Rattus norvegicus: one gene and its partners. The protein of the gene in region 1 interacts with the protein of each later gene in a pairwise test. Links are inferred from orthologs where the notes say so. Each region holds a gene or a part of one and is shown in the gene's direction. Other genes may lie near its edges.

Region 1 (5,250 bases):
GTGTCCCCTGTGTTGATTATCTCTTCATCTCATCAGGGAAAGTGTTAGCACGCTGAGACACGCTGAGGAAACTCCAGGTGCTGTTAGCACACTTGTACGCTCAACGGGTGTTCTGGTGCGTTTTCTCCTGCAACATTTTCTCCTGGGTTTGAAGCACCAGCCTGCATACCTGTCCCTTGAGAGTCCTATGTCCTCCTTGCCATCAGCTGGTGCTGGCAGTGCCTTGTATCTGGAGAGTAAGAGGTAGCCTCCATTCTGTAACCAGCAGGGCTGTGAGAACTGTCTTTATCCTTCTCCCTTGAGATGAGATCCTTCCCAAGCACATGAAAGGTTGGCTGCTTTGTTTGTTTTTTCTTTTCCTTTTTTGGTTTAATTTTTTTTTTTAAATTAGAAAAGTAATACAAATTGGAAAGTCATGCTCTTCCTTGCCCTCACCTCGGGAAACCCCTACTTAGCAGTTTGGAGGGCCACTCACTTCCTGTCGCTGTAAATGGTACAGGGGACGAATCACGGTGAGGAGAGGTTATTTTGTGCTCATTTTGGGTTTCAGTCCATGACTGCTTGGCTCTGCATTTGCGCCTGTACTGAGGCACAGACATGTGGTGGGGCAGAGCTGTTTGTCTTATGGCCAAGGAGAGGAAGAAGAGGAAAGGGCTGGGCTCCTAATGTCCTTCAAGGATACACCCCCAGTGACCAGGACACTTCTCACTAGGCTTCACTGTGTTTTTGTTTTTAAGGTCTCAGTATGTAGTTCTGACTGGCCTGGAACTCTGCATGTACCTCAGGCTGGCCTTGGACTCGCAGGGACCCACCTGCCTCTCCCTCTTGAGTGTCAGGATTAAAGTGTGTGTCACCACACCCATTCTGGCTTCACCACTTGAAGCTTCCACTGCCTCTCTATTGCCACCCTGATAAGTAAGCCTTCAATACAAGGTTTTTTTTTTTTTTTTTTTCCCCCTGGGGGTGAGGGTGAATGGGTAGTGAAGATCCGAAGTGTAGAAGATACCTTTGAAGCCTTCTTTTGCATTCATGCATGTGAATAAGTATATGCTTCTTAATGCACATTTTGATCTTTACATGCTCAAACCTTGAAATATAATACAAAATACATCTGCGTCCTACAATCAGTTTTTCTGTCCAACTATAGAACATGGGGTGTTACGGAACAGTGTGTCACACACTGATTGTTTAGCCGTGTCCCAGTCACTGGCCACTTTTCAGAGTTGCGGCTTTGTGTTTCCTCTCATTTAGCTTAGGAGTTACAAGGAGAGGACGTTAGGCCGACGGCTGCTTCCCTGCTAATGTGCTGCTGTGTGCTGACCGTGATGTTGGGATGGACCGTCCTGCACTAACTGGGTTAACCTCAGTGATTATTATTCCTAGGATTATCATGTCGTTCTGCTTCATGTGTCAAGGGAAGGACAGAGCTTCATTTATGACCTTGATACTATTTTGCCATTTCCCTGCCCTTTCGACATTTACATAGAAGATGCCCTTAAGTCTGATGATGACATTCATCCACAGTTTAGGAGGTGAGGAAATTCAGTACCAAGCTACTGATTTTCTGAAGTAAGACTTGGTGATTACACAGAAGTCCCCTCTCTGCCTCCTTCCTCCTTTCCCTCCCTTTCCTTTTCTCAGTCTTTTTCTCTCTTCTCCCCTCCCCCTCTGCGCTTCCTCTCCCTTCTCCTCTGTCTCCACCCTCCTCTTTCTGCATTATTGGTGTGCCTGTTATGCAAGAGCTTAAGAGCATCTTAAAGCTTTAAAGGTTCCTCGTCATTCAAAGGGTTGGCGGCATTATAAATATCAGTGTGCTGAGGACCAGCCAAGCTTGAAGACCCAGGTTCCATCTCTGAGATTCACAGGGTGGAAAGAAAGAATTGATATCTATAGATTACCTTTGACCATAAACACACACACACACACACACACACACACACACACACACACACACACGTGTTAAGAAAAAAGTGTGGGTTGGGGATTTAGCTCAGTGGTAGAGTGCTTGCCTAGCAAGGCCCTGGGTTCGGTCCCCAGCTCTGAAAAAAAAAAAAGAAAGAAAGAAAAAAGTGTGATGAGCTCAACATTTTCTTTCAGATGTGTTGAGGGTTTTTCTCTTGTTGCTGGAGTGTCAGCATGGCCAATGTTGTCAAAATCAAGAAAGTTGCAAGGCAACAGCAAAAGTCCTACCCTTTGCCCCTTCTGTGCAGTGTTACTAGAATGCTGGACCCCTTATGTGTAAATAAGAACAACTGGGTGATTTGCTCTCTGTATTTTCACAGCTTGGGGTTTCAGTCATTCCCTTCCGCTTGTACTAGCCACGCACATGTGCATGCATTCGTATCGGTGTGGAAACTCAGGAGTAGCCTTGTGTATCTCATAGAACAGAGTCCAGTTAGCAATGAGTTGGATTGCCAGCGGTGATAACTCCCTGATAGAAACGTGTGTTGATTTACCCGCAGGAAATTCAGAGTGGTTCGTGCTGACTCCTACTTGAAGAACTTTGCTTCTGACCGGTCTCACATGAAGGACTCGAGTGGGAACTGGAGAGAGCCCCCTCCAGAGTACCCCTGCATTGAAACTGGAGGTGAGCTGTGACTTTGCCTGTTCATTGCTCAGATCTGTGTCTCTCTTAGTCGGCTTGTTTAGTTTTGAGACAGGGTTTCTCTGTGTAGCCTTGGCTGTCTCGGAGCTCGCTCTCTAGACCAGACTGGCTGGCCTCTAACTCACAGAAATCCTCTTTCCTCTGCCTCCTGTGTGCTGGCACTAAGGGCATGAGCCACCTCTGCCTGTCTAGCCATCTTTGGAGAAGCTCCCCAAGTGGTGAGGATAAATGAGGGTACCCGTCCTCTGTACCTCCTGGATTCAGCAGTTAAGGCACAGAGAACAGGACTGGAAGGCAAAAGCCTTCTTGGGGAGAGTCCGAACAGAGGAACAGAAGCCATGGCAGTAGCCAACTGCTTGTTGTTGTAAACGTCTGCTGGGATGTTTACACACCGGTGTGTCCTACTGGGATCAGTAGCACATGGCTGTGCTGGGGTTTTATTCACTGCTAAAAGAAATCCCCGGTGCATCCTCCCAGTGTGTGAGGTGTCATTTTAGTAACCCTGTAATAAACCTATGTTCAGAGAGTTTTATCGTGACACTTCCTTTCTGTGCTTCTCGGCAGTAGTCCAGTTGAGGGCGCCCTGAGAGTTAACAGAGCAGGCTGTTCCCTCTGTTTACTTTTGTTCCGTACTCATATGCTTTCGAGACATTGTCTGTGACTGTAAATTGTTCACACCATTCCAGTTATGGGTGAGATCATCCCATCACATGGCTAATGTGGTCTGCAGGAAAATGGCCTGTAGGCTATGCAGGATTCTTCAGAAACAGGGCAAGGTCATCAGTAGCTCTTTAGGGAAGAAAGCATAAAACAGCTAACGTATTTGAAGGGCATGGACTCTTAATGAGGGTTCTCAAGTCTCAGCAAGAAGATAATGAAAGAAACCACAACAAAAACTGTAATTGCTTCCTCTTGTCTTACCCTAGCTTTCCCATGACAGCCATGAGAGCTGTGTTAGGAAAAGGTGACTGGGTACCCTGGGGCTAACCTGGGCACCTAGTGCCTTGGGGTGGTGGGGGGAGGTGACTGGGTACCCTGGGGCTAGCCTGGGCACCTAGTGCCTTCCGGGGGACCCATTTCCTGTGTAGATGTGGATTCCTGCAGCCTGGTACTCGGTTGATAATTAGCACACGGTCTTATCAGGACTTGGTCCTTTTCTTTGCAACTCAGTGCACAGTAGGTCATAGCACATGTGGCCTTATCAGCCGGTAGCTCTAGGTGCCATGCTAAGCTTTAGCTAGCTTCTGCACATATAAACGTAATCTGTAATGCGAGCTGGGAAGATGGCTAGATTGGTCAAATGCCTGCCGAACAAGCATGAGGACCCGATTTGAATCTACACTCCCCCCATCCCCCTGTCTCCTGGAGCAGAGATTTTTCTCTATAGCCCTGGCTGTCTTGGAACTCACTCCATAGACCAGGTTGACCTTGAACTCACAGACCTGCCTGCCTCTGCCTTCCCAGTGCTGGGGTTAAAGGTGTGTGCCAGTACAGCCCAGCTGAGTTGGGATCTTCAGTGCCCACACAAAAGGCAGGTGTGGTGGCATCTTTAATCCTAGCACAGGAGGGGTGGATCCCTGAAGCTGGCCACATTAGTTAGACCAGTGAAGCCCAGGTTCTATGAGAAACCTTCTCTTAAAACATGGGTGGGGAGCTACCAAGGAGGACACCGATGTCCATCTCTGTTTTCCACCTATGTGAACGAAGCACAACCCCTCGTACACACACATAAACAATCCTGCACTGTCTCTCAAGAATATTGTTTTTTGGGGGCGATTTTGGAGGAGTTGTAGGAAGAGAAAGAATATGGCCAAAATACATCATATGAAACTCTTGATAAACAAAAGCATTTTAAAAGTATTTTATTTTCTTTAAAAAAAAATTTGTTAGCTAGGCTGTAGTGGCACAAGCCTTTAATCTCAGCACTTGGGAGGCAAAGGCAGGAAGATCTCTGAGTTCGAGGCCAGGTTGTCCTACAAATCAAGTTCCAGGACAGCCAGGGCTAGACTCAAAGAAACCCTGTCTTGGAAAACAAAAACAAACAAACCAAAGATTTTTTTTGTTGTTTATTTTAAAATTTTAGGTATTTTTAATTTTTTTAAAATTAAAATATAATTACACTGTTGTCCCCCTTCCCTTTTATTTTTTAAATTTTATTTTTAGATGTCTTTATTTTATACTATGGATGCTTTGTTTGCATGTGTGTGTGTGTACACCACGTGGTGCTGAGACAGAGGCTGTCTTGAAACTAGAGTTGTGAGTGACCATCTCAGTGCTGGGACTTAAACCTGGGTCCTCTGCAAGAACAAGTGCTCTTAACCGCTGGGCCATCTCTCCAGCTCCTCTCTTTTATTATTTTAGACTTATAAGTGAGGACACTCTTTTATTTTACGTATTTTATTTTGGTTGTGAGCCTAGCCTTTAACGGCTGAGCCATCTCTCCAGCCCTATTTTACTTATTTTAGACAGGATCTCACCATGTATTCCTGGCTGGCCTGAAGCTCAGTGTGTAGACCAGTTCATAGAGATCTACCTGCCTCTTCCTCCCCAGAGTTGGGATTAAAGGTGTATGCCACAATGCCTCTAGCTCTTAAAAAAGAGAAAAGGAAAGAAAAGCATAGCGTTGTTTTTGTTTTATGCATGAG
Region 2 (5,250 bases), on another chromosome or scaffold:
CGGAGCTGGGGACCGAACCCAGGGCCTTGCGCTTCCTAGGCAAGCGCCCTACCACTGAGCTAAATCCCCAACCCCGAGATTATTATTTTTTGATTCAGTTATAAAACCTTGTTCCCCCTCCCCCATGTAATTCTGAGATATTAACTAGAAGGCTAGACATGGTAGCACATACCTATATTCCCAGTAATCTCAGTTCTTCAGAGAGAGGAGATGGTTGATACTAGCTGAAAGGATTATTATTATTGGATATCACGTATTGAAGACTCCAGTGGTAGGGCTGTGCATACGTAGAGCTTCCAAATATTCTTAATTTTGGCTTAGTGATGGGTGAACTTCTGTTACCTCATTGTGAATGTAACCTGTCTTAGCTCTGCGAGGCTGTTCCTTTGCGTCTCTCCCACCCTGCTCTCCCCCTTCTCTTCACCTAAGGCCGTCCCTGCCTTTTCTCTTTGGCTTGCCATCAGCGGTCTGTGCCAGGCCCTTTCGGACACCCAGTGCTTGGGGCTGCAGTGTGGTTGGTAATGTGGAGTCTGCTTGTCATCCTCAGCATCCAGCCATGCCCTGATGTAAAGTATGGCAAACGTATCCATGTGCTACCCATTGATGACACAGTGGAAGGCATCACTGGCAATCTTTTTGAGGTATACCTTAAGCCGTACTTCCTGGAAGCATATCGGCCCATCCGTAAAGGTGAGAGAAACTGAGTTTAAGAACAGTTGTTACTTGAGTAAACTTTTAACAATTCCATGTTATTTTCATGTGTCTGAGTATTATGTATAGCTATAATCTGCACACATATTCAATTGTCAGCTCTCTTACCTCCCTTCTGTGCTCTAGTATAGTAAGCAGTTCTCATGTATTTCTGAAGGGTAATGTGGTTTTGCTGTCAAATTGGCAGTGTATTGCTCTTCCATTGTTGGTTGTAGTGAAAGCTTAGGCCGTCTACACCCTAATAGTTAAAGGGGCTTTTGTCATATTCCTGGGATATAGTACAGAGTTGTGTTTCACTATTGCCTGGTGTGGGAAAGGAAGGCATAAGTAATAGCTACTGAGCTTTGAATTTGAGATCATGTGGTCTAGTGAAGAAGTCTCAGGTGGTCTTGTACTTGACACCTCTAATTGCACATGTATTGCTTTGTATTATAGGAGATATTTTCCTTGTCCGGGGTGGGATGCGTGCTGTGGAGTTCAAAGTAGTAGAGACAGATCCCAGCCCTTACTGTATTGTTGCTCCAGACACAGTGATCCACTGTGAGGGGGAGCCAATCAAGCGAGAGGTGAGTTACTCCCTAATCCCAGCCATGGTTTTATTTTGCTTTTTGCTTGTGGTTCTGGGAATTGAACCCAGGGCCGTGTGCATGTTAGGCCTACCACTGAAATACATCCTCATCTCCCAAATTCATTGGCACTCGGGTAGCATTTGTGTTGCTTATCAAACGGAATACTTTTCAAGATTAGATGGCCTTAATAGAAGTAGAAAACCACGTTAAGTATTTCTTGAAAGAACCTACTTCCACGAATTTAAGACAAAGCCGAGAGGTGTAAATGGCTGCCAGTAAGTGTGGTGGTACATGCCAATAGTCCTGGTGCGTAGGAGGTGGAGGTGGGAAGATTGCTGTGAGTTTGAGTCCAGCAGGATGGCCTATGAAGTGAGATCCTGTCTCAAAAACGTAAATGAGCGATAGCTTGGTGGCTCAGCACTGGCTGCTCTTCAAGGGGTCCTGAGTTCAATTCCCAGCACCCACATGGCTATATTTGATCGCGTTCCTATTCCCCTTGTTTGTTTTTTGAGACTGGGTCTCATGTTGTTCTCTCTGGCCTAGAATTCACAGTGATCTGCCTGCTTCTGCCTCCCAAGATGGAATTAAAGCATGTGCATTGTGTGCAAAATTCTACTGATCCCACCCCAGTCTTCCCACTCTCATAACTTTTTTAAACCTTTATTTACCTGAATGGGTAGTATGCCTACATGTGTGTCTATATAACATGTCTCTGTTAGCTCCCCTGAGATGAGTTAGAGGCAGTTAATTGTCATGTGGGTATTGGGAATTAAACCCACGTCTTCTGGAAGAGCAACCAGTGCTCTTAACCCTAAACCATCTCTCCAGTACCCCCAACCCCCACTCCCTTTGGTGACCAACTGAATTTATTTAGAATTGATCTTGTGTGGGGGAGGCTATCTGACAGCTACAGCTTACCAGTGGCTATACTGCCACTAAGGAATACTCTGTCTTCCAGCTCCTCAGTGCCAGATTGCTTGTCTGGCACACCACTCGGGAGGCAGAACTCAGTCTGCAATGGGGGTCCCAGTCCATGTTTTTTTTCTGTATGGGAAACTGGAGTTTGTGACTATTGGTATGGTTTCTGGCCTTCTGTGTACCCAGGCACTTCTGGTGTGCAACATCTACTTGCTAGGCAGGAAGGGAAAGGCAGAGCCTGGGACAGGTGGAACTTGGTTTGATTCCGAATGAGTGCTGAGAGTACGGAGGGGCTGGAAGAGAGAAGTCCTGGACATTTAGGGTTTGTTATAAAGACCCCCAACCCCTACAGAGATCCTTGATCGAAGAGAAGGTCCTTGCTTGTCCAAACTGCTTTATTTGATGGCAGATGTTAATACAATACCTTAATCTGAGTGAGCTAGAGATTGAATACCTTCTTCAGGAACCAGTGCCCCAGAAGGGAAGCTCCTGAATTGAATGCCCAAGGCCTATCTAGATAGCTCAGTAGCTTATCGAACTTTATGCTGTGTGACTGATTGCCACGGTTCTCAGTGGGCTTCCAGAACAGGTTTAGGCAGAGTTGGCTCCAGTCCAACTGTTCTCAGTTCTGAGTTTCATGGGGTTTAGGCTCATTCAACCTTACCAGTTCTTTTGTCTGGTGGTACAGTCCACTTGCCCCACACCTCAGGGTAGGGTGGTGCCTTTATGAACCAACTCCCAAACCCCGCTCCATTCAGGATGGGATGTTGATAAACCCAGTTCTGTGTAGGTCAACTTTAGTTTAGGGATCCCTTTTCAGTAAAATAAGGACTGCTCATAAGAGAGCAGTGTTTGGGTGTTTTTACTTTGTTTTATTTTCCTTTTACTGGGTATTGCTGTATAAGCTGACTGCAATTCACTGTGGCTTAAGCTGGCCTCACATCCAGTCTTTCTGCCTTCCAAGTACAGAATTTACAGACATGTTACCTGGCTTAAGACAAGATCCCTGCAGAAGAGAATCTTCTCACACAACATATTTTTTTCCATACCAAATAGTGGGAGGACTTGGAGAAATTGTATATTTGCTGACAATATTATTCTGGTTTTTGTTGTTGTTTTATACTCTTTTATATTCAGGATGAGGAGGAGTCCTTGAATGAAGTAGGCTATGATGACATCGGTGGTTGCAGGAAGCAGCTAGCTCAGATAAAGGAGATGGTGGAGCTGCCACTGAGACATCCTGCACTCTTTAAGGCAATTGGTGTGAAGGTGAGTATCCTAAGATCTGTGGGGAGTCTAAGACAGTGCTATAATGTTTTCTCATGGTGTGACTGATGCCCTAAATGGCTTAAAGGGGCAATAATAATCTTTGGGTTTATAGAAGGCTCTAAAAATTCATTAGAGCTATAGATTGTCATGTATATGTATGTACGCGTATACACACATAATATGCTTAAACAATGAGATCTCCCATGGATCGTATTAAAATTTTAACCATAATTTTGCCAATATTTGTAGAGTATTACTCAATAAAAGAAGGAAATTAATCGAGTTTTCAGATCCTGAGTTAAACACCTGAGAACCACCACCTGTCTAGAATAGTTTTTTGACCTTTTATATGTAATAGAACACACTAAAGATGAAGTGTGACTACTTTGCTTACTAAGCATACAAGTGGTTTTGTCTTGAGGGCAGTTTCAATGTCTTGTGGATAAGGCTGCAGACAACTTACAAGAAAGGTGCAGTTGATTATTTTAGAAGAAAAGACATGCCTTCATTCTCTCTGAGGCAGAGGCAGGCGCATCTATGAATTTGAGACTTGACAACCATATCTACAGAGAGTGGTTCCAGGACAGCCAGGGTTGCACAGAGAAGTCCTATTTGTCTGTTTTAGGAAAGGAATCTTGTTTTGAAAAAAAGACATTCTAGGGCTGGAGAGATGACCAGCAGTTAGAACAGTGACTGCTCTTCCAGAGATCCTGAGTTCAATTCTTAGGAACTATCGGAAATACCACTCAGTAGCAAAATTAGAGTTATGAAGTAGCAATTAAAACTTACGGTTGGGAAATCCTAAGACATCAGAAATAGGTGTTTTCCAGTGATCGTGACCCACAGATTTAGAACCACTGTCCTAAAAGGTTGTAAACACATGAGTGAAGAGCTCTAACCCTGAAAAACAGACCTTGCTTTAGTAGTAAGTACCTTGCATCCTGGTTTGTCCAAAGGGAAATTATTGAGGCCTTGGCATAATAACTTATTATTCACTGTCCTTCCAGTTTGTAAAGTCCCCCAGGTGTGACTTTTTAAAGGTGGTTCTTTTTTTTTTTTAAGGTTGTTCACTATTAGTCTCCTATGCAAATTGAGTTTATAAATGTTAGTGTTTATTTCCAAGGAGAGAGGGGGTGGAGGGGGAGAGGGAGGGAGGGACGGAGAGAGAGGGGGAGAGAGAGGGAGAGAGAGAGAGAGAGAGAGAGAGAGAGAGAGAGAGAGAGAGAGAGAGAGAGTGTGTGTGTAGCAGCAGACAGGGCTTCTTTCTTTATGTATCCTTAGCTATCCTGGAACTCGCTATATAGACCGGGTTAGCCTCAAATTCAGAGACCTACCTGCCTCTGCCTTGAGTTCTGGGATTAAAGATGCAAACCACATCTGGCTCTTTGTGTTTTCTTTTGGTCTCCCATTGTAAGTCAGTCTGGCCTCGACTATGCAATTCTTACTATTCTCTTCAGCTGGGTTTATAAACGGGTCTCAAAGGCTTGTGTGTTCTTTTTTATGTGTGTGGCTGTTAGTTTCGTTAATGTATATGTAGACACCACAAGCTTTCAGTATCTACAACTGACCAGAAGAAGACATCAGCTAGATCCTCTAGAACTGGAGTTACAGGTGGTTGTCAGCCACATCCACAATCAGTGGAAGAGTAGCCAGTGCTCTTAAATGCTGAGCCATCCCTCTAAACCCCAAAGACTTTTTCTTTATGGTATCAGTATAGAGCCCCGTTTCTCATCCCTCACTAGAGCTCTAGTCCAGCTACTTTTGGATGGGGGGTTGGGGGAAG
Region 3 (4,512 bases), on another chromosome or scaffold:
GTGTCCACATCCATCCACCCCTACTGCAGTCCGAGAGCTCACCCTCATACGGACCTGAAAGAACTTTAATTTTACTTTGGTCTTGAGGAGGTAGGTAACTTGGAATCAATTGTGAGGGACTGACCACACCTACAGGAGTGCTTCCCCATCTGTTCTCCATGTAGGGTGAGGAACTCCAAACAGAACAGTGACGTAGGAGACCTGTGCTTCCAGCCAAGACTGTTGCTCCGATGGTCCACACCAACATGGTCTTCAGTGTAATTCCCTCATCCTAGCTGATAAGCAGCTCCTCAGTGCCCCTCCTAAGGGTGCCTCCAGAGCTCCCTACAGAGATATTAATGAGGTAGCCTTCAGACATTGATAGAGACCCTCACGGTGCTTCCTCAGAGCCATAGCCACTGCCTCCTAGGGCCAGTAACTGTGCCCTTCCGATTTATAAATGCTTTCAATGAGTCCTTGGTAGGCTTGCCCGTTAGTCCTGGTGCGACAAGGATAGCATAGAATACCTTCTGTGCCAAGGCTCAGACTATGTTCACCTCTCTCTGCCCAGGGATTGCAGCTGCCACCATCTTCAGCCCTAGCAAGGATGTGGTCGTGTCCCAGAGTCAGCTCCGCGTGGCCTTCGATGGGGACGCAGTACTTTTCTCCGATGAGTCAGAGCGCATTGTCAAGGCCCATGGGCTGGACAGATTCTTTGAGCATGAGAAGGCCCACGAGAACAAACCTTTGGCGCAGGTGCCACGCATTCCCAGAACTCCTGAGTAACTCCTCATTCCCCAGAACCTGGACTGGCCGGAATCCAGGGCCAAACCCAGGCTAAGTCCACACCCCACCAGGCCCTCTCCTACTAAGAACCAAGCCTCCTCTCTCCTTGGTTTTTCAAATCAAAGTTTCTCTGTGTAGGCGTGGGTGTCCTGAAACTTGATTTGTAAACTAGACTGGCCTTGAACTCAGAGATCCACCTCCCTCTGCCTCCCGAGCTCTGAACCTCTCCCACTTGGCTCCTTGCTCCTTTCATTGAGACCCCACCCCTTCACTAAGTCCCACCTCCTCACTCAAGTGCCAGTGCTTCACCTCCTGGGTCTCCAGCATCTCTCCAAGCACCTCACCGAAGCCTTCCCTGACTCTCTGTTTTTATTCCTCCAAACGCTGTCTCAGGAGCCCCCAGGCCCTATTCTGAATCTTGAACCCTCTCTAAAGTTCCAAGTCCCAACTCCACAAAAACCTCTCTCTGTCCGTCTCTCTCTGTCTCTCTGTCTCTGTCCGTCTCTCTGTCTCTCTGTCTCTGTCCGTCTCTCTGTCTCTCTGTCTCTGTCCGTCTCTCTCTGTCTCTCTGTCTCTGTCTGTCTCTGTCTGTCTCTGTCTGTCTCTCTGTCTCTGTCCGTCTCTCTCTGTCTCTCTGTCTCTGTCCATCTCTCTCTGTCTCTCTGTCTCTCCCCCCCCTCTCTCTCTCTCTGTCACACACACACACACACACACACACACACACACACACACGCATGCACGCACACACCCCTCTTAGTCCATTGTCCTTTCCCTGTGACCCTCAGCTCTCTCTTGGGATACCCTCCTGAGTAAGGCCCCATCCTGCCAGAAGCTCCTGCTTCCTCACTGAGAGACAAGAGGAGCTCCATATTACACCATCATAGGGAGCGAGGGCTGTGGGTCCCCTTGGGCCACCTCTTGTCATTCCTTAAGTGGCTCAGGGAACCTCACCTGTCTGTGTGCGGGGAGGGGGGGGTAAGGGGATTCCCTAGCTCCACTGGGAACTCCAGTCTGAGCTTTTACAGGAATCTGGGAGCCAGAGCAGTGCACTTTCCCACTAGGTGGTTAACAGAACGCAGCTTACCCCAGGTTCCTAAGCTAGGAAAACCTCCAAGCCTAGCAGGCTACGTCCCTGGCTTCCAGTTGATTTGAAAATGAACCACACTCTGTACCATCCAGTTCTCTCCTCACAGATCCTCAGTGGCGCTTTCCCCTGACCTCAGAGCTTGATCCCCAGAGACACATATGCATCTGTCCACAGGCAGGCTCATAGTCAGTGGTTACACATCTGGCCCAGATGCTCCCAGACAGAATGGAGTCTGTGCTGATTGGCTCATTGTGCCACCATTACTAGCTCATTCTTATTGCTTCTCTGCTGATGAGCACAGACCACACTTACAGAGCTGTAGGATGAATTGCTGTAGGCCACACGAACGGATATTCATAGCAACAGTTGCCCTGGTTATGGTTATTCATTTATTTATTTATTATGTATACAATGTAGCCTGCATGTATACCATGCAGGTCAGAAAAGGGCACCAGATCTCATTACAGATAGTTGTGAGCCACCATGTGGTTGCTGGGAATTGAACTCAGGACCTCTGGAAGAGCAGACAGGGCTCTTAACCACTGAGCCATCTCTCCAGCCCGGTTATGGTTATTCTTAAACAGCCCTAATCACATTAAGACCGACCCCAGACTAAGGTACCTACAGCTCTGTATGCACACAGGCGCCAGATGGGGCAGACGGAAACTACCCAAGGATTTAGGGATTTCCCACCCCAACAGCCAATCACTGATGCTTTAGGACGAAAGGCAAAATGTTTTGGAGAGGTGAATTAATCAGCATCTCTGTTTCCTTTTCTCCACAGGGTCCCCTAAAGGGCTTCCTGGAAGCACTAGGTAGGCTGCAGAAGAAATTCTACTCCAAAGGCCTGCGGCTGGAGTGCCCGATTCGTACTTACTTGGTGACAGCGCGCAGCGCAGCCAGTTCTGGAGCCCGGGCCCTCAAGACCCTACGTAGCTGGGGCCTGGAGACGGATGAGGCCTTATTCCTAGCTGGAGCACCCAAGGGCCCTCTTCTTGAGAAGATCCGCCCACACATCTTCTTTGATGACCAGATGTTTCACGTGGCCGGAGCTCAGGAGATGGGCACCGTGGCCGCCCACGTGCCTTACGGCGTAGCTCAGAATCCACGGAGGGAAAAGCAGTCCCTAGGCGCACAGTAGCTGAGCTACCTTGCTCCAGGCCCTGTCACGTTTCTGAACCGCGGCTGGTGAGCTTTTCAGGCTCCTCACTGTCCACCCTCCTGCATGCCGCACTCATCTCTCTGTACCAGGTACTCTTAGAACGTTAGGAAGACAGAGCCAGCAGTCTCGAAATCCCTCCTGGGCAAACATTGCCATGACCCTGGCTAGAAAGCAGCACTCGGCAGAGTATCCTGGGTGTCAGAGAGAAACTGGTGGGACAGAGAGTTGTGTAGACAGAGAAGCCAGCATGCCTAAGGGCTTGGGATGAGAACTATCTCTAACGTAGCGCAAAGAACACTGTGTGAACGTGGGTAGATTTAACATCTAAAGCAGATCTGGCATGGATGCATGACTTAAGTTCCCCTTTTTCATAAGCCTTGGCATACTACCATTTTTTTGGGTGGCTTTCAATTTGTTCTTTAGCCAAAGAAGCTTGGTTTTATAAGATTGTGCACTAAATTAATCATTTAGTGCTGGGGCTGCTAGTACCCACGGCACCTGTGTGGATTACAAAAGGACACTGTCTAAGTGAATGCATTACAAAACTAATGGCCCTTCCTTCCTCTGGCCCGAGCCGGGATATAGGCTAGATTCCAGCCCTTTGCCCCTCAACCCCGAGGCCCATCAAATGAGAAGTGTGCACAGTGCTGCACAGTGCTGCACAGATTCTCTCTCGATAATTTTTTCATGTTTAGAAACCACTGCCCAAGGTGACCCTTTGCTTGCTGTGATTTGCTAACCTGAGCCGTGGAGAGCTGCTACATGCAAGGTGTTTGAAGAACTGAAGGGAGGAACGTCGCCCACATGCAGATTCTCCTCTAGCCAGCAGAGGGCACTGCAGGCTCTCTCTGAAGAAGGCTTCAGTGGCTCGCCAACTCTGGGTTTCCTTTGCCTCTAGCTTCAGGGCAAAGTTCAGTTAGTCCTGCCTGCCGGTCTCCTCAGCTCAGTCCTGGGTCTGCCAGTCATTTCCACCTTCCGTGCTGTAAGGAAGTTCTCCTAACAGAGAAGGAACTCTAGCCCTAAATATGGAGAAACCACAGGCTCTAAAGCGAGTCGTTGTCCAGGCTGTGCCTGAGGTGTAGGTGCCACAGTGAGATGTGGGAAGTATCAGGTCTGTTCTGAAACCAAAGACGCTAAGAAAGTGGTAGCTTAGGGAGGAATGAGTTGAATGCGTCCCAGCATGGTTCTGCTGTGGAGAGTGAGTAGAAGTCAGTCAGAGCTACCCCGGAAGTAATACGCTGTCATCAGGGTGCTATGCAAAGGATTCTGGGATGAACCAGCCTTCCTGAGAGATATCCGCGGTTGATCCATCTTTGCATGAATCTCTACAGCCCTTTCTTCTCCACCTGATGAGTGATGGACCACCTCCTTCTTTGCTAAGCAGCCCTGGCACTCAGAGGAAGGGTGGAAGAGTGGATGGTTGCCCCCCTTGGAAGACAAGAAAGGGCAAGCATGAATGTGTACAATGATTGCCTGGTTCCCACAGGGATTTCAGCAA

The links. The genes of interacting proteins can lie anywhere in the genome.
Region 2: the proteins of Ntaq1 (region 1) and Vcp interact in binary tests that used the Homo sapiens proteins (3 or more experiments, as listed by UniProt). The two-hybrid records come from large-scale screens. The link is inferred for Rattus norvegicus from reciprocal best matches to the Homo sapiens genes NTAQ1 and VCP.
Region 3: the proteins of Ntaq1 (region 1) and Nt5c1a interact in binary tests that used the Homo sapiens proteins (3 or more experiments, as listed by UniProt). The two-hybrid records come from large-scale screens. The link is inferred for Rattus norvegicus from reciprocal best matches to the Homo sapiens genes NTAQ1 and NT5C1A.

The regions. Positions count from the first base shown.
Region 1 is NC_086025.1:91,586,710-91,591,959, forward strand, and holds part of Ntaq1 (protein N-terminal glutamine amidohydrolase), read left to right. Parts: exon of another isoform or gene 1-1,383; coding exon 1,384-1,532; exon of another isoform or gene 1,533-2,062; intron 2,063-2,462; coding exon 2,463-2,587; intron 2,588-5,250. UniProt on the Homo sapiens protein: Mediates the side-chain deamidation of N-terminal glutamine residues to glutamate, an important step in N-end rule pathway of protein degradation.
Region 2 is NC_086023.1:62,014,369-62,019,618, reverse strand, and holds part of Vcp (transitional endoplasmic reticulum ATPase), read left to right. Parts: intron 1-547; coding exon 548-690; intron 691-1,146; coding exon 1,147-1,277; intron 1,278-3,335; coding exon 3,336-3,467; intron 3,468-5,250. UniProt on the Homo sapiens protein: Necessary for the fragmentation of Golgi stacks during mitosis and for their reassembly after mitosis. Involved in the formation of the transitional endoplasmic reticulum (tER).
Region 3 is NC_086023.1:140,770,374-140,774,885, forward strand, and holds the end of Nt5c1a (cytosolic 5'-nucleotidase 1A), read left to right. Parts: intron 1-550; coding exon 551-735; intron 736-2,636; coding exon 2,637-2,993; downstream 2,994-4,512.